Medicago truncatula: one gene and its partners. The main gene of each other region encodes a partner of the protein of the gene in region 3 in a complex. Links are inferred from orthologs where the notes say so. Each region holds a gene or a part of one and is shown on either strand. Other genes may lie near its edges.

What was found.
Region 1: retinoblastoma-related protein (region 3) and transcription factor MYB3R-1 share a complex: the UniProt entries of both Arabidopsis thaliana proteins name them as parts of the DREAM-like complex. The link is inferred for Medicago truncatula from reciprocal best matches to the Arabidopsis thaliana genes RBR1 and MYB3R-4.
Region 2: retinoblastoma-related protein (region 3) and transcription factor E2FC share a complex: the UniProt entries of both Arabidopsis thaliana proteins name them as parts of the DREAM-like complex. The link is inferred for Medicago truncatula from reciprocal best matches to the Arabidopsis thaliana genes RBR1 and ATE2F2.
Region 4: retinoblastoma-related protein (region 3) and transcription factor E2FB share a complex: the UniProt entries of both Arabidopsis thaliana proteins name them as parts of the DREAM-like complex. The link is inferred for Medicago truncatula from reciprocal best matches to the Arabidopsis thaliana genes RBR1 and E2F1.

The regions. Positions count from the first base shown.
Region 1 is NC_053044.1:54,290,917-54,298,744, forward strand, and holds the start of transcription factor MYB3R-1, read left to right. Parts: upstream 1-4,806; 5' UTR 4,807-5,008; exon of another isoform or gene 5,009-5,034; intron 5,035-5,371; 5' UTR 5,372-5,474; coding exon 5,475-5,539; intron 5,540-6,300; coding exon 6,301-6,355; intron 6,356-6,693; coding exon 6,694-6,751; intron 6,752-7,016; coding exon 7,017-7,111; intron 7,112-7,251; coding exon 7,252-7,355; intron 7,356-7,614; coding exon 7,615-7,743; intron 7,744-7,828. Other genes in the region: coiled-coil domain-containing protein 25, read left to right, coding at 839-991. UniProt on the Arabidopsis thaliana protein: Transcription factor that binds 5'-AACGG-3' motifs in gene promoters. Involved in the regulation of cytokinesis, probably via the activation of several G2/M phase-specific genes transcription (e.g. KNOLLE). Required for the maintenance of diploidy.
Region 2 is NC_053044.1:56,504,482-56,511,660, forward strand, and holds the start of transcription factor E2FC, read right to left. Parts: upstream 3,019-7,179; 5' UTR 2,648-3,018; coding exon 2,561-2,647; intron 1,919-2,560; coding exon 1,729-1,918; intron 1,628-1,728; coding exon 1,583-1,627; intron 1,493-1,582; coding exon 1,407-1,492; intron 1,261-1,406; coding exon 1,172-1,260; intron 1,072-1,171; coding exon 1,017-1,071; intron 151-1,016; coding exon 98-150; intron 18-97; coding exon 1-17. Other genes in the region: WEB family protein At1g75720, read right to left, coding at 4,521-5,009, 5,958-6,113. UniProt on the Arabidopsis thaliana protein: Involved in transcriptional repression. May act by repressing E2F-regulated genes in mature differentiated cells, but is not an antagonist of E2FA.
Region 3 is NC_053049.1:15,476,662-15,484,671, forward strand, and holds the start of retinoblastoma-related protein, read right to left. Parts: upstream 3,014-8,010; 5' UTR 2,836-3,013; coding exon 2,740-2,835; intron 982-2,739; coding exon 877-981; intron 791-876; coding exon 648-790; intron 567-647; coding exon 470-566; intron 348-469; coding exon 301-347; intron 204-300; coding exon 14-203; intron 1-13. UniProt on the Arabidopsis thaliana protein: Key regulator of entry into cell division. Acts as a transcription repressor of E2F target genes, whose activity is required for progress from the G1 to the S phase of the cell cycle.
Region 4 is NC_053045.1:26,839,344-26,846,399, forward strand, and holds the start of transcription factor E2FB, read left to right. Parts: upstream 1-4,049; 5' UTR 4,050-4,197; coding exon 4,198-4,377; intron 4,378-6,487; coding exon 6,488-6,677; intron 6,678-6,867; coding exon 6,868-6,927; intron 6,928-7,056. UniProt on the Arabidopsis thaliana protein: Transcription activator that binds DNA cooperatively with DP proteins through the E2 recognition site, 5'-TTTC[CG]CGC-3' found in the promoter region of a number of genes whose products are involved in cell cycle regulation or in DNA replication.

The DNA of each region.
Region 1 (7,828 bases), on a different chromosome or scaffold from region 3:
TATTTCTCAAAAGCTACTAATAGTCATTATAATCCGGTGTTTTTATTCTAGTTGTTTCCCAATGCTGAAATAAACAGATAGAAAATCCTAGGAAGTGATTAAATTTGAAACAAATGAGTTCCATATCATTGTCAAACTCATAAAATATTGCACAAACTCTTCTATTAGATCTTTGACCAATGGCTGTGCTCCGAAACAAATTGGTGAATGATTGTTTGTATTTTTACCGCTGTCTATGTTGCATTCTCTTCAGGGCACAGTTGTCTAAAATGTAATTTATTTTTCCCTATGTCCTGGTGCACTGCTTGAGTTCTTTGAGTCACTTTCCATCTTGTTGTTATTTAGGATGTTATGTTTGTAAACTTTGTTAAGAATTTTAGAATCCAGCCTAAGGTTCAGTGTCTTCTTTGCCTTCTAACAGTGAAATATCTTTGTAGCGTAACATTTCAGTGTCTTCTTGATCTAGTTCAATTGTTTTTTTCTTGAACAATTACTAGAATTAAATCACATGTTTCTGTGTGCAGAAGCATTCTTTGTGACTGACATGTTGCATTCTCCTTGGGGCATAGTTGTCTACTATATAATTTATCTTTTCCTTTGTCCTAAGGCACTACTTGAGTACTTTGTGTCACTTTGTATCTTGTTGTCCTTTAGGATGTTATATGTGTGAACTTTGTTAAGAATTTGAGGATTGGGCCTAAGGTTCATGGTGTTTTCTTTGCCTGCTAAAAATGAAATATCTTCATTGTCGTGTAACATCTTAGTGTTTTCTTGATCTAGTTCAATTGTTTTTTCTTTGAACAATTGCTAGAATCAAATCACATGTTTCTGTGTGCAGAAGCGCCGTGAGGAAATAGACAGACTAGAAAAGGAGAAACAATCAGAGCTTAGGAGCTACAAGGGTTTGATGGTCGCAGAAAATATGACATCCAACAAAGACATTGCTTCAGGAAGCAGATCATTCCAGGAAGTGGAGGAGGATTTCATGTAAACATTGGTTATTGGCTTATAGACAAATGACTGGTGGTCAACTTGCTGCCATGATTAAATAACCCAACTGGAATCTGAAACTGCATCATTGTCTTGGTTAAGGAAACCAAGTGGTGTGTGTACCCAACTGTGATTTAGGGATAAAGGAGAATATAAAATAGGGAGGGGAGAATGCAATGATTGGTTTTCATACCTTGTGATGGTTATATACCTGATTTATAACTTTGCTTGTGACAATGGTTTTTATTTTATTTTCTCACAGTCGAGTCAAAAACTGATGTTTCTTGCTATAATTTTGAGTCTTGTTAGGCTTGTCAGGTTTAAACTTTTGCTTTTAGGAAATTGTTAACTATGCGATAAATTATCAGGGCATTTTGAAGTATTCATGGTACTGGCAGAGAAGCTCGTTTATTTTTTTATCACAAGACTAATGGTAGGAATAGAATATTATTTAGTGAGAGGCTGCAAGAGTAGCACATAAGCATACATGTAAGTTATGTATGTATGCCCTAACAGTGATGATATTTTGCTGGTTTGCACATTTCATCACGAAGCTGAAAAAACCACTCTTGTTGGAGAGGTTATAAGCCAGTCATAAAGATATTAGAGACGTGTTTTCACTTCAAAGTTCAAACGTGATCCAATTTACTACACTTGGAGCTGAATTGAACAGGTTTATTGTTAGAGTAATGATATTTGATCATCCATTTTTAACAACTTTTGTGACAACACTCTCTCTCATACTCTCATTGTATTTTTATTCTCTCTCTTCCTTTTTCTCTCTCTATTGTTATTGTCCAATAAAAAGAGGAAAAACGTTGTCACTGAAAGTTGTTGAAAATTGATTGTCAAAATATCATTACTCTTATTGTTATTATGGTTGAGTTGAGAGAAATGATATTTGAACAATCATTTTTAACAACTTCGGTGACAACTCTCTCATACTCTCATTATACTTTATTCTCTCTCTTCCTTTTTCTTTCTCTCTATTGCTATTGTCCAATAAGAATGGAGGAAAAAGGTTGTCACCCAAAGTTGTCTAAAATTGGTTGTCAAAATATCATTCCTCATATAGTAAAGTTTTATTAGACGTACATTGTAGATGCTAGTTTAAAAAGTCTTATATAAGTTGACATCTAATAGTACACTTACAGTGCTGATGCTAGTTTCATCAGCCGGGACGGGAACGACTTTGATACAAACACATGGCTAACATGAGAAATAAGAACAAATAAATATAAGTATATGACCATAGGCGGGGGGGTTGGACAGCTCAACTCAACTAGTTTGAGTTAAGGAAAAAAAGTCTTGGAGGTATTGGATCAAACCCGATCATGGAATAAAATATTGATCTAACAAACTAACTACCAACATTTGCTATAAAACTAAAACCTAGGATCTATTCAAAATAAATTAGCTGGTTGATTCATTGTGACTAATCCTAATAATAGCAACAATATTCTGGTTTTTTCTTCTTTCAAAAAAATTATTCTGGTTTTTTCTTATGCTATAATTAGATATACTCTTCATGTTACCCCATTCATCCTTTGCTGTAATCCTCAAAACAGTCATGTATTTGTTGTTTTGAACCCTTGAAGGAAGAGACTCAACAGAAAACATATATTGATTCAAATGGGTGTATGCCCAATTTGCACATGCAGATCCACGATTCCTACTAAATCCCATGTGGATGTGAACAAAAGTGTTTTTAAGTAAAACTCGATGATTCGATCAATTGAGCAGAACTGTCCAAAGCAAAAGTCCAATTCTAATTACATATTTCGGTGAAGAAAAGAACAAAAACCGTCCTGATTTGCCGAGTTTCAATGAATTTTAAGTCATCATACATAAAATAAAATGATCCGAGTCATAAGTCTTAATTAATCTTAATTCAATCTTGTCAACATAAATTAATCTTAACTCAATGATTCAAACAAAAATTCTTCTTAATTCCCCCTTAAAATCCAACTTAATTCAATGGTTGCAACCCGTGTTTTTATATAATTATATTGACCTAAAGAAAATTGCCAAATTTGTTTCCTTTTTACTTTACATACATGATATATATTGGCATTTTGTTTTCTTTCGGTAAATGATCTATTGACAATCTTAGTAAATTAATCTAGTTATTATTATTTGCATTAAAGAAACTAAATATTGCACCTTTAATTAAATTAAAATCCTTCAAAGTTGTTTTTTCAAAGAACCTTCGAAGTTGTTGTGGTTGTTTTTTTTTTTTTTGACAAGAAGTTGTTGTTTCTTTTTTATTTTTATTTTTTATGTTCGATTAAACCTTTAGGAAAAAAAAAATTATGCTATTGTTATTGTCATTGAGATTCTCTTACTTCGACAGTTTTCTTAAAAAATATTTTAATATTTATTTAATGAATTTTCACATATGGGACGTTTTGATCTTCTTTCAAAATAAAAACTTCTTTCTTTAAAGCATAATCTTGTTTTTTTGGGTAACTTGTTTTAATCCTGAGTAAAAATAGATAATACGGCCGTGTTTGTTGTTTCTTGCGTTAGAACTCAAAATAAAATGGGGAAAAGGGAAGTTTAGTAAATTGTAAAATTTTATACGTGCATGACACTTCATATCACAGAGATAATTTATTTTGACAACACATATATACTTTTTTTTGAAACAAACAACACATAGATACTTAAAAATATATATTTAGTTTTAGATTTAATTCGTAAAACACCACAAAAAAAGACGCCACAAAAAGAGATTTAATTTGTAAACACAGGGCAACATAAATATCCGATGCTACATTTTTTAAGTTAGTTTTTAAAACGTCTTTTATAAATATCATTGAGTTAATTGCTATATACTTCATCCGTCCTTCAATAGATGATCTATTTGAAAATATGCACTATTGACCAAACATAATTTGACTATATTTTTCTGCTAATATACAAAGATAAATAATATCATATAAAATATCGTTGAATTCGTCTCGATGAATATTTTCAAAATATCAAATTTTCATATTTTACACATGTATCAAATTTAACAATGTAAAATTATTTTACACATGTATCAAATGATGTCTTACAACGTCAATTAATGAATATGAAAACACACGAGTTCACGTATTCATTAACTTACGCGACAACACATCGTTGAATTCATTGTAGAATATTTATAAACCGACAATGTATATTAATTAAACAAACAATGTATTTAGAATGTTTTGATTTAATGCATATCTAAAAAAGTTTTACGGCAAAAATGTATAAAAATTAATCTTTATAGTTTTTCATGAAAAGATACTTACAAAAATACTATATTTTAAAAATGAGTTACGCAGTGTTTTAAGAACATTGTTTAAGAAACATATAAAAAAAAACATTTTATCTTAGAAATACAAGTCAAACACATGTAAAAGTTATAACTACACAATTTTTAATATAAAAATTATTGTTTTTAAATGCTTAAAAAATATCCTAAAACATTCGTTAGCAAAAACACCACAAAAAAACATTTGTTAGTATTTTCCATTAAGCATTAATGTAAGTAGGTGATATAATGTAAAAATATTAGTAAACTCCAGAAAAAATCTGCTAAAAAAACAAACTTCAGAAAAATATGTGGAGGAAATCTGAAAGAAAGAAAATAAAAAATATGACCGTTGCACTTTTGGAAAAATAAAAACTCAAGGTAAAATGTGAACCTTGACTCCGACGTTTCTCATCACGACCGTTCATTTTAAAAAAGTCAATAATATTGTTTGTGAAAAAAGGAAAAAAGAAAAAAAAAATCAAAAAAGAAAAGAAAAGAAAAAGAGAAAATAGTTTCCGCCCCTTTATGTTTGAGTTTGAATATTGAGAAGACCGTTTCCTTTAACACTTTCTCTCACTAAAACCTCTTCTTATTCTTCTCCCTACTTTGAATGTTGATGTCAAATTCTAGATCTTTCTTCAACATCCATCCATTCGGATTTTCATTTTCACACAGTTTCAATTTCCTCATCTATTTTCTCGAATATCTTCATTTCTGAAGCTCAATCTGGTTGGTGTTTTTTTTTTTGAACAATGGTTGGTGAACGCTTGCATTTTGATTTCGATTTCTTCTTCATGTTTATATTTATGTTTATTCTCCAATCTACAACTCATATTTATGCTTAAATGTAAATTCTATTCCGAGTTTTCAAATTGCTTTAAATTTGAATTCCTTATTTTTTTTCTTCCTTTTTTTGAATTTTTTACTTTAATTGTTTGATTTTGTAAGGATCCAGTCTGTTTAAATTTCTCTATTTCATTCGTAATGCCGCCATGTGTTTGATCCATGTAGCGGATCCCACTTTGTGCGACTTATGTGATTTATTTTTGAAATTTGAATTCAATTTATATTGATTCATATGTTTGTTTGCAGGAATTTTTGCTTGGGTAATTTTACAAGTGTGGATTAGGGATTAGAATGATTTGGAGGACAAATTGTGGAGATAATTGCAGACAAGTCGAAATTCCGGTACACTATGGGAAGTGAGTCGACAATTCCTGCTTTATCAGATGGCGTACAGAAAATTAGAGCATTACATGGGTAAATCTTAAATTCATCTTTTGTTTTACTAACATGCTTGATATGCACTTGTTGCTTTAATCTCAGATACCCCTTTTGGAAGTAAATTTTAGATTCATTGGTATGTTTATGTTTGGAGTTGTTATTTGCTTTCTTTTGATTATGAAATGATTTATTACCAAGACAAAGAAATGAATCCTTATTTTCCCAATTATAGCTTATCGCATCTGTCATTACAATTTTCCTACACCTTTTTTCCTTAAGCTAGTTGAAAAGAGGTCTGCAAGAGTGGTAACATTATACTTGTGACATTTTCCTATCACATTTGTCACATTTTTCTGTCACATTTCTGCTGATTTGATTTGTTCAACCAAAGTCGAATAGATGCACCCGTCCCCTGTACACTCCGACACTTCCAATCGGTGCCACATTGCTGGCTTAACACCTGAGTGTGAAGTTGCACAAGAAAAGCCAAAATGAGGCACTCTCTAAACTTTTTCAACTTCAATGGGGTGTATCCACTTTAATTATTATTCATTAAGGTCACTATACCTGGTCAATCAATGGTGGTAGCTTAGCTACTATAATGAGATTGAGCAGTTGCCAAACAAAATTGAAGATTATGAAAATTTTATATGCAAAAGACAAAAGACATATACTTTATGAGGATTTTAAAACGTTTCGACATTTAAATTTTTTTTTTTATGAAATCTATAACATGTCATTATATATTTATAAGCAGTGAAATGAGTTTACTCATACAATTACGCACGTATTTGCAGGAGGACTACTGGCCCTACAAGGCGATCCACTAAAGGACAATGGACACCCGAGGAGGTGAATTTTTAATACTTTTAACATATTACATCTTTCTAAAGTTTGGTAACATTGCTCCACTGCAACTTCATTTGTCTGTTTTAGGGGAGACACAATAAAATTTTGTATCATGTGAAATTTAGCATCTATAGACTTATTGTGTTAACTTTTTCACTTTCAATCATTATAGTTAATAGTTATTGTGTAGACTTCTTTGAAGATCATAAATGGCTAAATAATGCAATGACTTTTTTTGTATACATGTGCATTTAGAAGCTGTACTTGATTTTTCTTTGAAATTCTTCTATGTAAAAATGTATTATATGATCAAGTGAAATACATGAATTCTGTGTATGCAGGATAATATATTGAGGAAGGCTGTTGAGCGTTTTCAAGGAAAAAATTGGAAAAAAATAGGTAATATTTTCACGACATACTTCTTTTGGCGTATAACTGCATAGTGGAGCATTGGTTGTGTCCAATTCTTCATAAAACTAGACGAGCTTTTTCAGTTGGACCTTTACAGGCTTAACTGAGGAGATTTAAAATGGGAAAAAGAACTGGTGTTTGTTGGGGAATCAATCTATATATTTGTAGTAAACTCAATTTATATTTTTTTGTTGTCTTTACACCTATTCAATATTGTTTTTTGACTTGTTATGATTGTACAATGTGTTTGCAGCGGAGTGTTTCAAGGATAGAACTGATGTACAATGCCTGCATAGGTGGCAAAAAGTCTTAAATCCAGAACTTATCAAAGGTCCTTGGTCCAAAGAGGTAATATCAACTTCTCATTTCTTGCCGGTGTTGATTATATACTTAGCAATTTTGTGTTGGTTCTGACATGATAGCCTATTCTATCCATTTTCTGTTTGGAGATCTGTTATTTACTTACCTATCAATCTGAATGCAAACAGGAAGATGAAACAATTGTTGATTTGGTAAACAAATATGGGCCTAAAAAGTGGTCTACTATAGCACAACATTTACCTGGACGTATCGGTAAGCAATGTCGAGAAAGGTATGGTTATTGGATTTCTAATAGTTAATGTATGTTATGATTAACATACTTTACGTCCAAAAACATTAAATTAGAGTACAATGTATTTAATATTTATTCCGACTACATTTTCTTATTGCCACTTAGTGGGATAAGACTTGGTTGTTGTTGTATTTTTTCCGTATTGCACACACACATATATAAATTAAATTACGCTTGGGGGGTTGTAGTAGTCAATTCTCATTCTCGCTGATAATGATAATTTTTGAAAAATTATTAGGTGGCATAATCATCTTAATCCTTCTATAAACAAAGAAGCATGGACGCAGGAAGAAGAGTTGGCTCTAATACATGCTCATCAGATATATGGGAATAGATGGGCAGAGTTATCAAAGTTTTTGCCTGGAAGGTAAATACACGTTAATTTGGTTTTTGCATTTCATTTAAATAAGGAATGAAGTTGAAAAGTGCATGCAATGCAACCATGCTCTCAC
Region 2 (7,179 bases), on a different chromosome or scaffold from region 3:
TAAGCTCCTTTCTTTCACTGAGAATTGACATGATAAATTTCAAGATAAAACAGATAAGTCAAAATAAAACTAACGATATTAGTAGCACCTAGCGAACCTTATACACTGGTCAAGTTTGAATTCCTCGGCATATAAGCTATCAACTTCATCCTGCAATGGACCAAATTATCAGAATTGGACCAAACCATTTCTATACTGCAGAGCATTAATTTGCTAAATAGTATCATATGTTCTACACATATTTGGCATTTAACATTACTATTATTATTATTTTAGGGTTTTGTGGGTAAAGAGTGTTTGGCTAAAGGTTTTATTACCTGAACCTAAGAAAGGGAAAATTGGAACCAAGAAGACTAATTGCTTATGTTTCATTACTATCAGTTTTTAGTAATTTGACAACAGTTTCATCTATTTTATTTATTCATTCATTATATGTTAATTTTTCCAACACGATGATATCAAATCAAACAGCATTTAGATTGCGCATCTGCCTCATCCAACAAACAAAATTAAAAACATCATGTTATATATTGTTATGTAAAAGAGACAAGTCACATAGAAGTATTTCAATCTTGAGGGTTCTACAGAATGCATATATCTTCAGCCCAAAAGTTTCCTTTCGGCGTCAATAAATAATGTCTTCAGCAGCTCAAGTTGCACCTTACTGCTAGTAACTTGTATTTTGTTTAGACCACTGTTATCATCCTCAGCAACCTTAACTGTACTGCTACCAACAAATACTTTGGAGAGATTCTATTTCATCTATAGTATACAAACCGGAGATTCCTAGGTGCAATGTCTAATCGGTGACAAGAAATATGATGCCATGAAGACAATAAGATTCCTGAAACCTATGACTTGGAAGGAAACTAAATAGTATATAAAAAACATGGTTATGAAAAACTGAGTAGAGATGTTTACAATCCTAATTAATCATCCGATCATACCAGATGTGTAAAAGCAGGAAATGTGGAATACATATTAACTAACTGACAAGTAAAAAAAGATTGACAAACCTTTAGAGTATTAACTTGATGCTCCAGTTCTCGTGGCTCAAGTCCATCACATCCCCTGTGAATAAGGCCCATCATCATATATTATCATTTCATTTCATAAACATGATAAAAATCAAACCAATAGTATATACCAAATAAAAATATTAGATATTTACTTCCACCGTATATGGTTCTTTGAAGTTTTCTCTATCAATCCTATTCCTTCAAGAACATTTGTAATGTCATAAATTCTCCTTTTTTGAACCTGAAGACAAATGTCAAATTACTATTATTAAAAAATGTTAAATTATATTATACATGTCTTATTAAAGCACTAGGAGGTGAAGCTCAAAATCAGACCTGCTAATACGAACCATCGGGCATATATACAATGAAAGACAATTTCTATACCTTTAAGATCTCAGCAGTTTTATTTAGATCAAGGGTACCATCCTTAGCCTCATTGATCAAACTGATAAATTTCTTGGTTAGCAATCCTGCAAACAGTACATGATGTAGCTGTTCGTCATAAAAAGAGCTAAATTAATGACAAAAAGTCATAAAAGATCACTTGAGTGTGGACATACCTAAGGAACTGTCATAACGATTGACTGTGGCTGAATTCAGAGAGTCTGATAGGAAAAATCCACCCAACATAAAATAAAAATAATGTGAGAATACAGATAATGATATACAAACCAACGCACATTATCATACTCTAAAAGAAAATTACCTGTATTTGAAATCTGATTGGCAGATTTTGAATTTTTTGAAACTTTTGATTTACCATTATGCTTTCCTCTTGGGTTGGGTTGGGTTTGAAGAAGTGGAGGAAGATTAACAGTGTTGCTCTGACTCGGAAACGCTTCAACGTTACTACTAGTGTGCAAGTTGACATTATTGATTTCATTTCTTTGACTTAACTGCAATAGACAGTTGAATTGAATGCAAGCATTTAAAGTGTGAGCAGAAATTAAATATATAATTTGTAACATTGTTGACTAATATTTGTTGGATACTCATTCTAGATTCTGATATTTATTTATTAAATTAAACCATAAGCAGAGTTAATTATAAGAGTTAGTTGAGCTGAAAACAGAATTGAAATATAAAACTGCTAAATTGAATAAGTATTATGAAGAGCAACAAATTGTAACATTGTTGCTCCCTATAACATAAAAAAAAAAAAAAAAAAAAAAAGAAAGAAAGAGTCACTAAAATTTGTATAACTAATGAATGGATTGAATCTCAATTCTGAAGTGTGCCTAGAACAGTTCTTCTAACAACTAAGGAGTGAGCGGCATATTAATTCCACTTTAAATTCAGCGCTGAACCTCATAGACTAATCCCGGAGAGAATATAACATTGGTGCATTCCTAGGGTTAGATTGAAACACATGAAAGAAGAGATCTCTTAACATCTTCGGTTGATTTATAATATTTGGAGAAAAACATGAAGATATAAATGAATGATCGGAAATTTTTGGTTAAATAATCTGATCCGATCGATATTGTGAAATGAAAGAAAGAAATAAAAATTGGAGAAGGAAAAAGAAGAAGACTTACGGGAAACATAGAAGAAGAAGAAGAAGTAAAAGGAGTGAAATTGAATTGAGAAAAATGAGGAATTTGATCCTCGCTTGGAGTCGACATGAATGATGAACCCAATCAATTTACCCAACAACACTAGTAGTGGCAGCAGTAGTAGTTAATTAATTCATTAAAATAGAGTGAGTAAGGGTTTTAGCGGCAGGAAAGCTATAGTGTTGAATTGAATTTGAGGGGAATAAATGAAAATAAAATCCTATTACGCGATAAAATAAAATAAAAAAAATTGAATGAATATTTTCTCTCAATGGGAGCGATAAGTCATGCGATGTGAATGAGATTGTCCAAAGCTAACAGAAGATGATGAAGAAGAAGAAGAAGAAGAGGAGGAAGCGGTGGGTGTATTGTTGTATTTGTATGAGTTCGAATACACACGCCACCCCGCCTTTTGTTCCTCTCTCTTCTCTTTGGGCCTATTTATTTTTCTACCTTCTCTCCCTGGGTCTGGGCCTCCTTCTCCCTTTGAAATTCAAACCATCCATTAAAAAATTAAATAAAAAATCAAATATTTTTTTTATAGATGATGAGTCATGACGATCCTCTTCATTTTTCTCAGTTACTATAATTTTTAAAATATAAATACAAATGTGTCATTAAGTGAGTCAAAAAAAATTATATAACAACTATAGTAGTAGTAATAGAGCAAATAAATGATGAGAATCTTAACTCATGAAAGATATCTCTTTTTTCGTCGCTATAATTCTTAAAAATCACTTTCTGTTTAAATTTATCCATCTAGATAGAGATAAAAAAAAATATACACCCTTTTACCTGAATCTATCCATTGAAATGCGAGAAAATAATAAAAGTGACCATCCTCTCCTTTTTTTTATCACCAATGATATTGAACATCTCTAATAAGGAGTTTTTTTATTAAATAAAGACATCAACCTATTAAAGATCACATTGGAAGGGAAAAAATGGCAATTAGTTCCACGACAACTATACAATGTTTTTTTTTCTCTTCACCAACTAACAGGTTCTATAATCAAAATAAGAAAAAGTTTGGATAAAAGTTGATCCCACTATCTCAAATTTACATGCCTTACTCTCTGCAATTTCTTTTTATTTATTTTTTAAATGCACATATTAAAGTGTGTATTAATGGCACCTATTTAAGGACTATTTTTGGTTTATTATTACTTGAGTCATTGATTATTAATTGATATTTTCATTAACAATTATAAATAAGTGATGTTTATATGTGATCCATTTAATGTCTCTTTTTAGATTACTATCATTATAAGTGTCTTTAATTATCATACATTTTCATTTAACACATCATTTTCTCTCTATCTTTAAATTTTCATTAGTTCATTAATTTCTTTGTCAAGGTGTAGAATATATATTAGGTATCTAGATTTCCAAAACAATAGTACTAACAGAGAGAAATTAGAGAATATAAAATGGAAATGATTTCAACTCATAAGTGATTTTGATTTTCCATGTTTATTTTATTCGATCAAAACATTTGTATTGTTAAGGGGTACATCTACGATCTCCTTCTCCCCAGTTGGATTCTGCTAGCAGCAGTTTCTAGTTTATGTTTAAAAAATATTTATTAGCCTGGTCCATGTATTGATCCGCCGGTTCACCAAACCTGAGTTTTGACTCAACCAATTCGACCAGCCCGGTCCCGGTCCGGTCTAGTTTTTTAAACAATGCATGGAACATCCACAATATGCAAGTATCCATACTCTGCTACTCTACTAGTCGTCAACTCACAAAGTTCAACTACATTTTACACAATATTATTAGAGGCAGTTAGATACATATGACACACGAAAACAAAACAAAAATATACTCGTTTCAAAAAGAAAAGAAACTTGAATACAAAACCCGGTTAGGTAATTATTCTGGTAATGTGATGCATATAGCATACTTATACTCGCTAAAATTCATACAAACTCGTCACTCATCATGGAACTTCTTGGCTAGTTCCCTTTTTCCTTGAAAAAATACCTCCTATAAGTGGAATCAATGACTTCTTCTTCTTCTTCCTAAGAGAAGGGTGCCTTTCCAACTTCTCAACACCTTGAGGTAACATCACATGAGAAACAGACGGTGGATTCGCGAACGTCACATACCTTTTCTTTTGAAACTCCATCATTAATTCTTCATCAAATCTTGAACTTTTCACTTCAAAGGTTGTTAAATTCTCAACAAACTTCACGTCTTCAGTTTCTGATGATTCCACTTGATGTTTTTCAGTTTCACGTTGCTTCAATTGTTCGAGCTCTTGCTTCGTGCGTTCGAGTTCTTCCTGAAGAGATGACATACAATGTGCCATCAACATGCTTTCTTCTTTAGCTTTCTCTAGATTTTCTCGTGTCTCCTCCAGCTCAGCTGTAACGTTTTCAACCCTTGAAGACTGATCAACCCCATTTTCATTTGCTCCATTGTGAATCTATATATTAGAAGACATGGAGACGAACAACAATAAATTATTAATCATGTGTGGAAGTGTAAATTTTAAACCATAAACAAGTGATCATGAGGAAATTAGACCGTCAGATAATCCTAATTAATCTCTAAGATGCCCAAAATGATTTTGGTGTGTGTAAATTAAGCTAACTCAGCCGATACTAATCTTATACCGTAATCTGATGTTTTTACTTTTTACATACCTACGGGTCAATAATTAATTTTTCTGACCAAATGATTAATAATTTGAGTATATCTATCATTCGAGAATTTGAGTAGGAAAATGCTTTATATAGCGAGAAGTGGGTTCACGAAGTTTCACAATACGTTGAAAACAATACTCCCTTTATTTTTGCTAGCACCATGTTGGCAAGTGGGGAGCTCTTTTTTTTTGTTATCAAGGCAATTTACATTCGTGAATCATTCGCTATATATTTTATTGGGAGATATATAGCAACACCCATTTGAGTATATCTATCACTCATGTCGCATCATATTGTTAAACTGAGAAATGAGAAATGTTATCAACACACGTTCTAACATATACTTTTCAATAATGTGTGTTGCTAGCATTTCTCTTGTCACACTATATTGAAAGCACAAATGAATTTACTTATATATAGTGCACAGACAAAAGTAAAAATTAAAAGCAGAATTTTTTTTTTCTTCACTTCCTTTATTCAATTAGACGGTGAAGAAAGCAAAAGACACAAATACAAGCAAGCACATGACACACTCTGCAAATTGATGACAATCTGCACTTGTAGTTTGTACCCTGTTTCAAAAAAAAAACATAGGATAGGAGAATCTTATTGATGGATGGACCTTCAATTAAAATGTCCAAGAATTCCTTATTGGTGATTTAAATAATTCAAGTAATTAACCATTTTGATATTCTAATAAAATTGAGTGATGTGATGGTGTATAGAACCTGGTGTTTGAGTTTGGTTGCAGTTGCATAGAGCTCTCCAGCTAAAACTTTATCACCGAATAATGTAACAGCCTCTTTGACGGACCTGAATGGCGCCCTTGTGTCTATCTCTGTATTTCTGGTGAGCAGCATCACACCCTCTTTATTCTTATTCATCTTTGTGTTAGAAGATAGAGATAGAGAGAAGAATGAGATAATTAGGTTGGTTATAAGTAGTAGTTAGTAATGTGTAGTAGAAATGGACAATATTAAAGGAGACAATTGGCATAATATATGGTATGAAGATTGGAAGCTTCGTTTCTTCGCGTCCACTTCACTAGAACAATTCTGTTATACTATCTCAGAAAGAGAGCCAAAGCGGTGGGTGGATATGCTATTGGTCTTGGATATTGTTCCTATGTTATGTTATGTTGGACCTAACCTAATTTGCCTAAACTTTGTTTTATATTTAACAGAATTGAAGAGGACCCTTCACCCATACCCAACTTATACTATAGGACTTGTTGTCTTAGAGAAGCTAGCATTTCCAAAGAGAGAAGCTAACTCAATGTATAGAATCTGTTATTCCTTTGCTCCCAAGATTGAATATACACCACTGCATGGTTGCCAAGTTATCAAGCAACCTATCCTACCTTTGTTCTTGATTAGTGAGACTTTTATGGAAACCTTAATTTTAGTTTTTCGATATTCTTTTTCAGACTTTATCTATTTTTAACGTGAAATTTGAGAGTTTTTTGATATAGCTAGCTAGATACGAGGGCTGTTTTTTTTTTTTTTTTTTTTTTTTTCTTCAATGGAGCACAAATACAATTTTATATTACTGATTAAATTTGTTCTACATAACACAAGAACACTTGAATGAGATGGTAAGGGACAACTTAGCTAGAGATCACGAGTGAATTTTGTCATTTATTGCAGTCCTACCTGACTCGATAAATTAATCCACACGTAGAGATATTGATAAGACACATAGAGTTAATGGTATTTCATAACTAATCGATTGAGCAGCATCTCGTAGACCACCCAAAAAGGAATATTTATTATTTGACCCATATCCTGACATAAGAAGTCCAATGGGAGCAATACTCAAAATAGCAATCCATAAAAAACACCGATATTGAAATCAGATAAAACAAAGTTATAGCCAAAGGGAATTACTGAATAACTTATTAGAATTGATATTACTGATATGGATGGTCCGATACTGAATAAACGAATATCT
Region 3 (8,010 bases):
GAATCTAACTGACCATGATAGAAATTAAACCATTGGTGCAAGTCACCAAGTCTTTAAAACGGCTGAAAGCATGTACACGAAGGGCCAAGAAAAGTAACCATCCAAAACGATGGCACTCAGATACACGGCCCGTAACAGACGACTTATTTTCAACATTTGCATCAGTTGACACGAAGAACTCTTCAAATACACGCTTATAATACCTGGCACAATCAAAGTCGTAAGATGTAAAGCAAACTATAATCAAAGCAAGCAACCTTATACTGCAAAAAAAAACATAAAAAATACTGGGCTACTCACTTGCTAAGAATCTTCAGGTGAATAGTGTTAGCATGCATCTCTTTTGCCTAATATAAACATAGCAACATAAAATATTAGCTAAGTATATAACTGATTTGAAGGATTTAAAAGTATATAATCACAATTAACTTGGCAAAAATACAATCGTGATTCTCAGACTAGTCAATACCTCAAGCTTGTTTTCCCAATCAGAGCCGAATCGATTGCTTAAAATTGGACCAGCTTTGACAACAAACTGAGGAAGTTCTTTAAAAAAATCTGCAATGCTGTTCAATACAAGATAAACATACCAGTTAATAAAAGACCAAACTACAAACTTTGATACTAGATAAAGGTCAGAAAAATACTTAAGCTTTGCTGCTCTCAATATTCGACACAAGGTAAGACCGGTATTCTCAATCTCTTCTTTTTCACTTTCCTCATTTTTCTGAGTCAGCCTCTTGATAGAGTATAAAATAAAAGCAAACCAGTACCGCTCTGCTTCTTCTATCTGAAAATATTTATAAACCTCATGAATTCAAATAAAAACTTCAATGACAAATGGATTTCATACTAGAGAGTTGTGTGCATACGTACCGTTCCATTTCCCATTGATGAAACATTTGCCATGAGAAGATGTTTGGTTTCTCCAAACAGATCCATTGCTTCTTTACAGCTTTTCTCATCCAATGCTAGCTCATTCTGCAACAAAAGAGAGAGTTAAAATATATAAAAATTATCCTGTCACAAAAATATTATATTATCTCGTAGGATTGTTTTCCTATCTTGCAGTGTCTCTCGATATTAGTTTCCCATTTTACTTGGATATTATCATAATTTGTTTCCCTATTTAATTAGGATTTGGAATCTTTGGATAGTATAAATAAGGGTTAGTACTTAATATTTTTGTATCATCAACCACAAGCACATTTTTAAGTCATCTTCACTATCTGTCTAAAAGACTGTCAATTAAACAGAGCCAATCAATGTATAATTTAATGAATAAAAAACCTCAGTTTAAAACTCATTAGATCTGTCTAAACACAAGTAATAACCATACATGTACATTTATCCTATTTGGTGTCTGGCATACACATAGAAAATTGTTGTGCAACAGAGGATACAGCAGAGCATAGCCATAATGAGAAGGTATGGCAAGTAAATGGAGTGAGTTGACCGAAAATAATGCAAGCTTCCAAACACATGTGGCTTAGTGACAGGACTTGGCGAAAAAATGAAGGGCTGGGGTGTGAAGGGATAGCCAACGCTTAATTGGGCAGCATGACTTTCCTTCGTAATCCATCCGTTATTTGAAATAAGCTAAGAGTTTCATGTTTCAAACAACAGATGCAATTAGTAATGCTACTCACAACTATTGATTTGTACCATAAACTCTTTCTGGAACAAATTAATAATGAATAGGTAACCGATGTCAAACTCCCCTCCCAATAACACAAAAGAACCGGAAACGACAGATCAATTAATAATAGTGATCCTAAAAGAAAGACTCCCAACAAATCAATGCAGACCGATTAATCACAAAGTGAAAACGCCCGACCACACAATTTTTCAACCACATTAACCGACAGTACATGACAGATCAATAAATCGGACAAACTTTTCTGAATTTAAACATTCATTTCCGCTAAATTAATGACCTAGGAAGGGTTGCTGATCTGCTAAATTGATGACCTTGGAAGGGTTGGTGATTAATTGCTCCCTAAGTTTTCTCCATCACATACTATCACCAAAACATGTCTGATTAATTTAACCAAGTCAAAAAGGAATAATAAAAAACTCAACTTTATCATACACCAAAATGTAAAAAATGCCTCAAATCACAAAAAAAAAAGGGTTAATTAAGTTTTTAGTCCCTATAAATATTTAAAATTTTGTTTTTAGTCCTTACAAAATAAAATCACACTTTTTAATCCCTAAAAATTTTTCATCAACATTTTTAGTCCTTATAAAATTTTTCATAAGCATTTTTAGTCCCTATAAAATTTTTCCATCAGCATTTTTAGTCCCTAAAATGCTTAAGGAAAATGTCACAGGGACTAAAAAGTGTGATTTTATTTTGTAGGGACTAAAAACAAAACTGTGAATATTTATAGGGACTAAAAACTTAATTAACCCAAAAAAAAAATCTATGCACCTATCTTTCCGTGAAGATCGATCGATTAATCAATAAAACATTTTAACATGCATTTTATCTCTCAATAATAATTCAATTTAGGGTTTACAAACAAAAAGAACAAATTTCATTTCACTTCTTCAAATCACAAACGAACCCTACAAACTAAAAAACTTAAAGATCAAAACTTTATAAACATAATTCACAAACAGTATCAGCTCAAACAAAATAAAAACACAACACCAAAAAAAACATTAATTAAACTAATTTCACATCAAAAAACTGACCCAGAAAACGAAAAATGAAAATTAAAACAAAGCAATCACCTTTGAAAACTCAGCAAAACGAGAAACAGCTTGGTCACCATTTTCGACAACAGAAAGCTTAGTATCTTCCATCTCCGTTTCAGCTGAAGGACTCATGAAAGAACCCTAATTCACACAGATCGAGTGAGTAGAAACCCTAATTCGAGCGAAAATTGGGTGAATTTTGACAAGGAATCGCAATTTAGGTGTGAAATTGAGAAACCCTAGGATGAAGGAAAGGGGGGAATAAGAACAGAGAAATCTCAGAAACTCACGAAAAGAGAATAAACATATTAATTTTATTTAATAATAATGTTTTTTTATTATTAAAAAAAGGTTAAGATTGTGTTTTGGCGCCACATATGTTATGTCCTACAGGTTTTTCCCGCCTAATGTAAGGCTGATGTGGATTAGGGGTATGATAGGGATTTTGTGTTGTTTGACTGGGTTTTTTGTCTCTCTATGTTTTTTACTATGTTTCGTTTTCTTACCTTAGTATATGGTTTTTTCGTTCCCAACAAAAAGTAATTTATAAAGTAGGGTTAAATATGTTTTTGGTCCCTATAAATATGTCAATTTTTCGTTTTAGTCCCTCTAAAATTTTCCTTCAACATTTAATCCCTATAAAATTTTCAATCACTATTTTTGGTCCTTATTTTAAATTTAATTTTTGTATTTTTTAATAAAATTTGGAAGAAATGTGTAAAATATTCTAAAAAAAATTCCTAAAAAAAGTTAGAATTTTTTAACAAAACACAAATTAAATATAAATTTTTAACCGTAAAAAATATAAAAATTCATATTAAATTCACGTTTTGTTAAAAAATTCTCAAATTTTTTTGAAGTGGTTCTTATAATATTTCGAATTTTCCTGGAAAATTTTATTAAATAATATGAATTCTACATATGATTTTACTTTAAAGAGGGACCAAAAGTGAAGATTGAAAATTTTATAGGGACTAAATGTTGAAGGAAAATTTTGGGAGGACTAAAACGAAAAGTTTACATATTTATAGAGACCAAAAACATACTTAACCCTATAAAGTATCTAAAAATGTGAAAAAAAAAAGTATCTAAAAATATGAAAAAATAAATAAATTACACTAACGCTACCTCTCGAACAAGTGGTTGTAGTTTTTCTTGCTGGTTCTCTCTTCTATTTTTTTATTGAGGGTCTAAAATTGTCGTTCTTTATTTCACTCTCTCTTTTAATTTAAATAAATGGTTTTTAGATAAAAATAAAAAATTTATTTTGTCGTCCTAGTGCATCGTTTCTTTCTTTGTTCATCGTTTTTGTGCAGCGTTGGCTAATTTCCCATTTTGGTAAGTTGTTTGTTTGGTTTGACATGACTAGCCAACTTTAATCTATCAATGTTCAATTAAATGATCATCACTTAAACTTAAACGTTGCATATCTGAATGCATGAGTATTTCAGTCACTTTGATTTTGTCACATTAATTGTATTTACTTTGTCATTTTAAAAGTTGTTAGTTTGTTTGCAGATTAATACTTTTCGCTTTTATTAATTTTGAATTTTAATCCATTCTTTTTGTTTTTTTTAAAGGAATTTTAATCCATTCTTATATACTCTACTAATTTGAATAAATGAATATAGTTTATTTTAGTAAAAAAAGAAATGTTAAAAATAAAATATGTGGTTCAACATAATTAAGTGATAATTTTTAGAGAGAAAGTATCTTCTAATTTAATTTCTTGTTTTTGTAACTCCTAGTATTTGATTTCTATCCATGTTTGTTTTTTTAATAAACGGTATTTAATCTATTATGACTTGAATTCATTGATTTATTTATTGCTTATTGATGAGCTACTAATACACTATACTCACTTTTGGCACGGTTTCGTAAAAATCACTTTAAATATAAGTGAGGATTATTCTACTATTACATGAATTGAATAGATTTCCTTAAAAATATGAATTAAATAGATTTGAGAGGTGGGGGCTCTGTTAGCGCAACTATTGTTTCTTACCATGCAAACAATTTGTATAAAGAATGGTTGAAAAAGATATAAATGATGAAATTAAGAGAGAAAGTATTTTTATTGTACCAATTCTCATTTGTGAATGAAAAAATGTGACTGCAACCTATTTATATTGGTTATTTGTTAGTTAAGTAACAAATTCAACTAACTAATTAATTAACCATGTAACTAAAAAGTGTTGACCCATTTTATGATTAGATGGGAGATAATGTGCACGTATGTAAAGAGTTAATTAAGGAAAAAGATAAACGACACAATTAAGTAAATTATACTAGTTCACTTCATAATCTGAAGTTAGTCCAATTCTCTCGCACTTTCGAGAAATTTCATTATAATCCAACATATTATAATAATAAACACTAAGACTACATATAATTTAAAAAATCTTTCAATAATTTTGATTATAATAGCTACAACAATTAATTAATTTCTAATGATCAGCAATTAACTCAAAATATCAATAAGGTCTAACGCTTCCAAACAACGAGCACGAGTAACACTAGAAGAGTGATAGCGAAGTTAACAATAAACACTACTTCATTGTTTCATTTTTTTTTACTTTTTATACCAATTTCAACAATAGAATAAGTCCTCAAAGATACAAAAGTAGAAAAGAAATAAATACACGAAAAAACATTACGACCGAGAATTAGGATTAAACATGTCAAAGGAATGCTTTGTTTGAGAGTTTGGAACAGAGGGAAAATGAGCGCTTTGGGAGTGGGAAATATATAGGAAAATAAAAAATCTTTCATATTTTTTGAAAGAATAATTTTTTAGAGAATGATAAATTAACACTTATGATTAATATACTTATAATTTTAAGAATATTATAACAACATAGATTTAATTTGAAAAATTCATATAATCCCTCCAAAAACCCTCCTCTAGTATAATTTTGAGTTCCTTGGATTGAGGGGTATTTGATATTATGAATAAAAAAATTAACCCCCAAACTCTATCATCCCAATGTCTTTTATTTCTCCTTCCTTTTTTTCAAAACCCTTCCCTCCCCTCCAAACTCCCAAACAAAGTCTAAGTCTTTAACCATAGATAATTTTGCAAGTTTGTAAATTTTTTGAATTGAAAAACAACCAATAAATTTCGAATTTTAATTCATATAGACCGATAATATAAAATATTTTTACACATGCATTCAATCATATTAATTAAAATTAGTAGAGGTATTAAGAATTAGCTTAAAAAATATTACTTGTCTATATGATTAGATACGATTATAACATAGTGCTTCGAAATTAATCTTATTTGTTTAATGATATGAAATTTTTTAATAAATTTAATTTATACATTATTGGTGTAAACAATTTTTACACCTTGAATTGATAATAATTGATAGACCATTGATTACGTTTAGTTTTACTCCTATCTATTTTAAATATTACACACATAATTGGTTGTAATTTGCTGAGGTACACAATTTTTTACACTATTTATGTATGAAGATTATATCAGAAATTTACTCTAATAATTTATAAGATTAATTTTTATGCACTCTTAGTGTGGTTTATCTTACACACGTCTTCAATCAAATTGCACAAAATATCGTTGTTATAGTGGAGGAGGCCTAGGAGGAGGAGAGTCTTTTGGAGTGTGGGGTGTTGTTGCATACTATTATTTTGTAGGATAATGTTCATGAGAGGTGGCGTTGGCTTCTTGACCCTATTGCTGGCTACTCTGTTAGAGGAACTTACCATTACTTCACAAAGGAAACCGATCATCCTGATTGTGGTCTGTTTGACGATGTGTGGCATAGACAGGTTCCGTTAAAAGTCTCTTTGTTTGCTTGGAGACTTCTCTGTGATCGTCTTCCGACTAAAGATAACTTGGTGCGGCGACAAATACTTTAGCTTGACGACAATATGTTTGTGAAGGGGGTGTGGGTCTCTAGAGACTACAAATCACTTGTCCTTTAGCTGCAACACTTTAAGTAGCGTGTGGTTTTTGGTTCTCCGGTGGCTCGACATCTCCTGCATCGCTCCTTTTGAGGCTCGTGATCATCTCCTTCAGTTCGGGCATCTTGCTGGATTACCAAGTTCTTCTCATTCATTCCTTCGGATGATCTGGCTAGCTTGCGTTTGGGTTATCTGAAAGGAGTGTGACAATAGAGTTTTTAATCACAAGTTTTTGGATTCCCACTGCATGGCGGACAAGGTTAAACGGCAATCGTACTTTTGGCTTAAATCCAATATGCAGGCTTTTATTTTCAGCATCCATGAGTGGTTGCAGCACCCTTTATCATGCATGAGTGTTTTGATGTAATGTTATTATTATTATTGTTTTCTTCATTGCGTTGTTCCTTTTTCAGGGACCCATGACCTGACTTTGTAACTGTTTTCGCTGTTTCTCTTTGCACATCTTATGCCAGATAAAACACTTTTGGTAATGTTATTTTCCATTTTGGCTTGTTAAAAAAAAATAAAAAATCATTGGTTATAGATTGATTCCTAATTAAAATATATCCACATGATTTGAGTGTAAACAAGGAATCATTATTTGCAATCATTATTCGGTTGATCCTGATATGTTTCACTAGTAATGCTAAGATACTCTTTAGTCTAAACAAGGAATCTACAATGTGCTAGAGATACATATTTGCAATGGTTAATTTCTACCAATAATTTTAGAAGCTTGTAATTTCCACAACAAGACCATAGTTCAATAATGTTTTTCTGAAGAAGCATAGTTGAATAATGTTAATGCTTGGTAGACCAACTTTGATTTTATCCTTGAGGATGTGCTATTATTCTGATCATTCTATTTCACCAAATGCTTAGCAAAGGACTTTAGGTTTGTGAAAGAACAAAGATTCTCAAAACAAAGATTCTATTTCACCAACACTCAGAGGATTTCACCCTTGAAAGAACAAAGCAATAATCAGAATCAAGATTCTCAGAAACCTACTCGGTTCTGAAGAGCTATAAGTACTGCAATACAAAGATTGATTGAAGTGGTAGGCCTATAATCTTGATATGTGCCCACAGGATGGAAAATGCATCGCAGCTTTGTTGCAACCACCTTTTTATCGTAACAACATTTATTAAACTAATTTTGGTATCCTTAACCATACATCGCACGGGTCGCTATCTAGTGTAATAACCAACCATGCACAAATGAAAAAGTCTAGTGTCTCCCAAAGTACACACCTGAAAATATAGCAAGGTGCTAGCATGTAAAAATGTTGGTGATAGTTAACAAGCAAAGCGCAGTGTGATGCCATTGTGCGCAGCAGCAATATTTGCAGTCGTAATTGCGGATCCAGACCATAATTT
Region 4 (7,056 bases), on a different chromosome or scaffold from region 3:
ATCAATGAATAATATTTGGTTCATAGCAATGTTTATTCTCATTTTAATAAATAAATTACAAAGGTGATAAACCCTTTTATATATGTAAGAGCTTATTGTGCATCATATTTAATTAATAAAAAAGGAAGTAACAATGTAATTTGGTGTGTCAAATAATTCATATATTTTTTTGCATATGTTTGGTTTTTACTTATTTCCGTTCTAGATCAATTCTTTGGTGCTCTTAGGTATCTATTGTTTGTTTCTTTAATCAAGCTATTGATTTAGGATTGTTATAACTTTGACACTTGATTTAAAAATATATATTCTGCTTTTTTTTTTTTTTCCTCTTCTACTTTTCAGTTGCCTTTGAGGAAAACTTACATATAGTGAATTTTCATTGGTATTGTTGGGAGACTTTATTTTTGTGTGTAAGAATCTTTCAAAAAATTTATTTGTTCGTTGGTGAGAAATATTGATTGTGATTCAACATATTATGGTTTTTAGAAATGTTTTTTTTAGAATGGTGTGTTTAGATGGAAGATTCATGAGAGGAGGGCTTACTTTTCCTTTTTAAATTACAAACACTAAAAAAAAACCACCAAAATGACTTTTTTTCATACTTTTTGTGGTTTTGATTAAACTGAATTCACGACATAAAAAAAACCAACAAAATGACTTTTTTTTCAAACTTTTTGTGGTTTTGATTAAAGTGTACTAAAACGGAAACTCAATAGTAGGGATAAAAATGATTAGACAAATGCAATAATAGAGAGGTAGATTGGGTAAAGAGGGAGCTTTTTTTTAATAGGAGAGATGGAGAATGGGTGAATATTAGTCAAATGCAAAAAGATTAAACTGTAATCAATAAAGGTTTTTATAAATTGTGTTAGCGGTAGGAAAGATTTATTGTCTTCGTGAAACCCACTCCCATAAATTTCACTCATGTTTCATGCATATTCATATTTCTTATATAGATGAGTATGCATCACAAAACTAAGTAAATCGTAAATAACTCCATGTTAGAGAAGTGCATGTATTATCTATCTTATATTTTTTTTATCACATTAGAACTTTCTCTTTTTGAGGGGAATGTATGATATTTCTTTGAATTCTAATAATTTTCTCCAAGATATATCAAGAAAAACTAAACAACATTGATGTTGAAAAACATACTATTTATGAGTTACATGCGTTAGCGCAGTAGAAAGAGTGGACAGACGGGCACGGGAATGCCCGTCTGGACGCTAGTGAAGCCTAATGTGAAATCCTGATCCAAGTCCAATTGAACACATACTGAGAATTATGAGCTGCACTTTTCTTCTTCTTCCTTCCAATATTCACAACCAGCTTTCCAGAAACGTGATTATGCCCAAAGCCCTTTTCCAAAACAGCTTATTATTAAAAATGAAATTGAACCAAAGCAACTTATTGAATACACAACTGAGCCAAAACAGCATGCCCAAAAGAAACTTGTCCCAAACGGGCTTTTGCAAAACGCACTTTTCAAATCAGCTTTTCTAAATCGCGTTCATACAACACGATTACGCTATTGAACTCATTGTCATTTGTGCATTCCAGAATCTCTCAACCATAGCAGAATTCATCAATGTCGTGAAACAAAATACTTCGAACCTGCAAGTGTTCGCCGGAAAACAAGTATGCGACGGTTGTGTTGATTTTCACGAAAACAACGAAAGACGGTTCTTCCCTCTGTCCCATGGTATCCACTGTAGTCAATCAATACCAAAACTTGTGAACTTGAAAAATGAAATTGAAAAAGAAATTGATAGAAAAGAGGGCAACAAACCGCAAAGATTTCCACCGGGATTGAAATCCACAATTGCCTCGTCATGTAACTAGAAGCATTGAAGCTTGTTGTTGAGTGTGATTACATCATGTTCCTGTTCTCCGACGAAGAAGAAACTAACGCCGTAAACAGGTACAGAGCTTGAGAGAACAAAATCGGTGAAGAGACTCTTCGAGTTCCTGATCGCTACTTCAGAAACGGTGAAAACAAATTTTCGATTGTTCAGTTTTGTAGATTCAGCAAATGCGTGAAACAACAAATCAAGACTATGTGAATTCTTGTTTTCTTCCGAAGCATCAAACACAAAGTTGCGCTCAGTGCAACAACGTGAATTAGCGAGAAAGCAAGGAATTTCACCAATCTTGATGGCGAATCCATCAACTGCTGGCTGAAACGAAGCATTCCACGGTGAAGAAACAGAAGTGGAAACTGAATCACCAAAACTACCGAAAATGAAGCAATCTTGCGAAGTGGAGGAACACGAAGATTCTGCAGCAGAAGCTTCAAGATCTTCATCACCAACCGAATCCTCTTCATCACCAACAGAATCCTCTTCAGAATCACTATATGTGCAACAATATTGCTCTGATACCATATCGGAAACTATAGGATCAAAGAGATGAAGATGAAGTTCATAGGAGAAGTAGGCATGAGAGGTAGAAACAAAAGAATAATCCTTGTAATTCATATTGAATTAGATTGAAAAAGATAACCATAGAGTACAATAGTGAGAGATATTTATAGAGTGAGTTAGTTCGTAACTAACTCTTAACTACCTAACTAAGTAACTAACCATAGTTTACATATTATCTAATTATGGTTTATTCACTATACTCTACTAATAACCGTTGCTTCAGCAAGCAATGGTCACGCCACTCTCACGGTCTCCAATGAAAAAAGTGATGAAAAGTTCAAATTACATGCTGACAATCTCACAAAATAACTAACCGCTGGAGCTGCTCTAAGATAAGAGCAGGTTTTTGACGTACGTTAACAAACATACTTACGTATCATCATCAGTAAAGGAACATTGACGGTAAGTAAACTCTCTTTACCACAAATTAGAGAATATCCCCTAAATTATAAATCTTTGTATCGAAAATTGTACCCTGAAGTAAGTAAAATAAAAATAATGAAGTTGAGTACATGGTGGTTATGTTATGTAGCACTGGGGACTGGAGGAATATAAAGTCGGGACTACCGTTAAAACGTGGGTGTGATTCGCGCTGATTCCTAACCGAACAGAGGCAGTTTTATTAAAAAAACACGGCCAAATTTCTTCCATTGTCTTTTTCCTTTTGGTACACGATCCAAGTTTTTATATTTATTAAATGAAAATAAAATTTCCCTAAATAGGATTTAATTAATTTTAAAAAAAACTAGGATTTACTTCACATAAAATGTTTACACACACTATTAACTAAGAGAAAGAAGTCCTAACTCAACTGGCAAAATGCCGAAATTGTTAGGCCGGATGTCATGACCGGGCTTCGAACCCCGGTACCTCCACTTGTGTGTGTGAGTTTATAATGGCTTTGCCATTTCGTCTATCTACCAAAAAAAAAAACTAACAGAAAATATTTGACTTCCATTATCTATTTAAATTATACATATAATAACATTTGACTAGTCAACATAATACATTTTTTATTGTAAAAAAACGTTATAAATTTTTACGTTAATATTGTATTAAAATATTAAAATTAAAATCTAATTAAAAAGTTTGTTTTTTTCATTTGATTTTCTTAAAATAATATTTTTTATTTATTTTCAGTTTCTAGTAAATTCTCTCCTTTAAAATAATCATATTTAAAATACTATCCGACATTAAATATAATCATGAAAATTCTAACTAATATTTTCACAAGTAAAATATCGGTTTTAATTTATAAAATCTAACTCAACTAACAATACAAATATTTTTAAATCAAACATTTTCATCTGATTCCAATATGAAACCTCACAATCATAGTGTGTCTTTTGGTTATGTTTATCATTTCGTCTAGAAAATTATAACCCTTGTGTTAAACAATTAAAACCTGCTCATTTTGTCTAAAATTAGTCCTTGTGACTTAATTTTAAGTTGAATAATTTTTTGTAAAACTTTATTTATCTTTCCAGCAACTTATTATCAGATTTTTTTTTTTAAAACCAAAAGGGTTTACACACAAAAAAATAAAATAAAATAGTGTAATAAAATAATAATAGTAATAATTGATATTGAATTGGGAACTCATTATTTATTTATAAGCACTTCCCTCCACATCAATATCCGAACCAAATTCCCTCCATCATCATCTTCTTCTCCCTCTCCCTCTTCCCTTTCTCTCTCCCGCTTTTTCCCACTTTCCAAACACATAGATCTCTCTTCCTTTTCCCTCCCATTTCCTTCCATCGCCGGCAGGTGGATGTCGGGCACCCGAACTCCTCCCGCCACCGCCGCGCCGGACCAGATCATGCAGCAACGTCAACTCCCTTTCTCCTCCATGAAACCTCCCTTTCTCGCCGCCGCTGATTATCACCGCTTCGCTCCTGACCACCGCCGGAATCAAGACCTAGAAACTGAAGCTATTGTTGTTAAAACTCCTGTGAGTTTTCTATTTTTTTATTATTATTATTATTTTTTTACGTTTTTTGTGATTTTTTTTATGGTTTTTAGTTTAGTTTTTGTAAGGTGATTTAAAGAACTAGGGATCTATTGAATTTTAGGGTTTAATTTCTATTTAGTTATTAAATTGTTGGGATTAGTTGCTGAATTAGTTCTTAGAGTTGAATATTAGTTAGGTTTTACTAAAAAAAGGAATTTTTTCCGTGCTTGAGGAATCAAACTAAGTTATGCTAGTGTCTGACACGTGTGTGAGACACCAACACGACACTAACACATGTGGTTATATTCAATTACGGGTGTCGACCTGTTAGTGTCGTGTCAGGTGTTTGCAACAGTGCTTCATAGAAAAAGAGTGTGTGGGTGTGTTTATTTTTTATTTTTAATATGTGCTGTTATATGAGCTTTAGAGCCTGTTTGGATAAATGGTTTATTTGCAGCTTATGGCACAAGTGCTTATCATATAAGCACTTTTGCATAAGCTTACATAAGCTGTTTTTATAAGCATACACATAAACTTTATTTTGATAGAAAAAAAATAAGCCATAAGCTGTCTTTATTAGTTCTCTCAAACAGTCTCACAAAACTTATGCTAGTAGGTAAGCTCAAATAAGCCAATCCAAACAGGCCCTTAGTCCTTAGGTTTAGTACTTGATCAATGTATTGAGGAACTTGAGAGGATGTGATTGTAACTTGGTCAATTCTAGGCGGTAAGAATCACGTTGCAATGAAAATAATTGGTCAATTCTAGGTGGAAAGGATCACATTGCAAGGAAATGAATCTGTCTATTGGATGCTTTAAAATGCTCCTGAAAAGCCCCATTTAGTTTATGAGCTTACTTTTGCCTGGTTGTTTTTAAATGAGGTTTCTATTTGGTGCAAAGATTTTCTGTAAGAAATTTGGCAAATAAAGGAAATGGGTTACCATACTCGGTCGAAATTTTTTTATGTGGATAAAAAAATAACTCTGCTTCAGAAACCACATTTCGTGAGTTTTTAAGTTTATTTTTGTAGTCTTTCGCTTTTTCCTTTTTGAATTGAATCCATTTAGTCAACTTAGTAGTGTTGCCGTTTGCCAAATACATACGTTTTTAGGAAACTGACCGTAACTGAGTTATTCTATCATTATGTTACTCGTTAAGGAATTCTGAGGGTATCTTGCACATCCTTAGACTATGCTCATGTAAAAAACTAAATTGTGCATAACTTTTCCATTTCTCATAAATGCAAGTAGGGCGCTTCCCTTTTTCTTATTCTTTGCAAAATCTATTGACATAGTTAAAAGTATTGGGTTATGCTTGTGTTGTTATTTGTAGATATTATAAGTAAATTTCTTTCTTCTAATTGATGTGAAGCTATATATTTATGGTTGCTATTAAAAATGCCTCATTACATTGAATTGCGGCTTCGTGATACGGCTGGAGGCCTTGGCTGCCACGCTAAATGCAAATGCAGCGGAAATCGAGTATGGTGTTTGCGGCTGCGTTTCATGGTGGAATTGCTTATTGCGGCCGAAGCAAGGGTCTTACTGCACAAACCCATTCACTCTGGCCACAAATTGGAAGTTTCTTGCCATGAGCTGGTGTTTTTCAGTAAGAACACCGACAGAGAAAAATATAGAACAATGGAGTACAAGAAAGACGCGAGTAGAAACAAGAAAGGAGGAAAAGTAACTGCAATGTGGAGCTATCTAATTTTTTAATATCGGGAAGGGAACATTTTAAATTTAGGGTTTCCGAAATTAGGCTTTAAGTTAGTCTAATGGTGGTCCACACCCCCTTTTTTTCTACCGACACCCCCTTTTCTACATAGTGAAGACTAAAATACCTCTGTTCTCACCTTTTCTACCCCTCTTTCCCTTCCCCTCGCAAGCACTATCCCAGTTGTATAATCGATTGCTCTGCACCAATATCCGAGATTAACAACATTGATTTATGATTAATGGATTATTTATGAAAATACGATTCTTACTATTCTAACTTACTCTATATAATCTTTTTTTTTAAGTCAACTTATCTCCGCGAGCACCTGCTTAGACTAATCCATAATCTTTTCTATTTATTGTTACTTACTATTATATTCACACATTTCAGCAATTGAAGCGGAAGAGTGAAGCAGCTGATTTTGAAGCTGATTCAGGTGATAGGATGACTCCTGGGTCCACTGCAGCAGCCAATAGTTCTGTTCAGACGCCTGTATCTGGAAAGGCGGGGAAAGGAGGAAAATCCTCTAGGATGACAAAATGCAACAGATCTGGAACTCAAACCCCTGGCTCAAATATTGGTGAATATTTTTTTCGAAACTTTGTTAAGTAGGATTCTACATTTATCATTTTCCTAATATATTCAAAGAAAATAAGGGTAGCCAATATTTTGGTTGACAACTAGATTTCTATCAACTAACATACACCATCATTCCTTTAATTATCGATTTTGGCTACCAAAAAGTTATACTTTTTATATAAATTTGGCAGGTTCTCCTTCAGGAAATAATCTCACCCCTGCTGGTCCATGTCGATATGACAGCTCATTAGGTATTGCCTAATTTTTCAGTTTTGATTAGTTGATTGTTGATCATCGGTGGTTTATTGTTATTCAATTCTTTACAGTTTAAGTTACACATTAAACACTTGTAGTTTCTCCCTTTTCAAACAACCTCCACC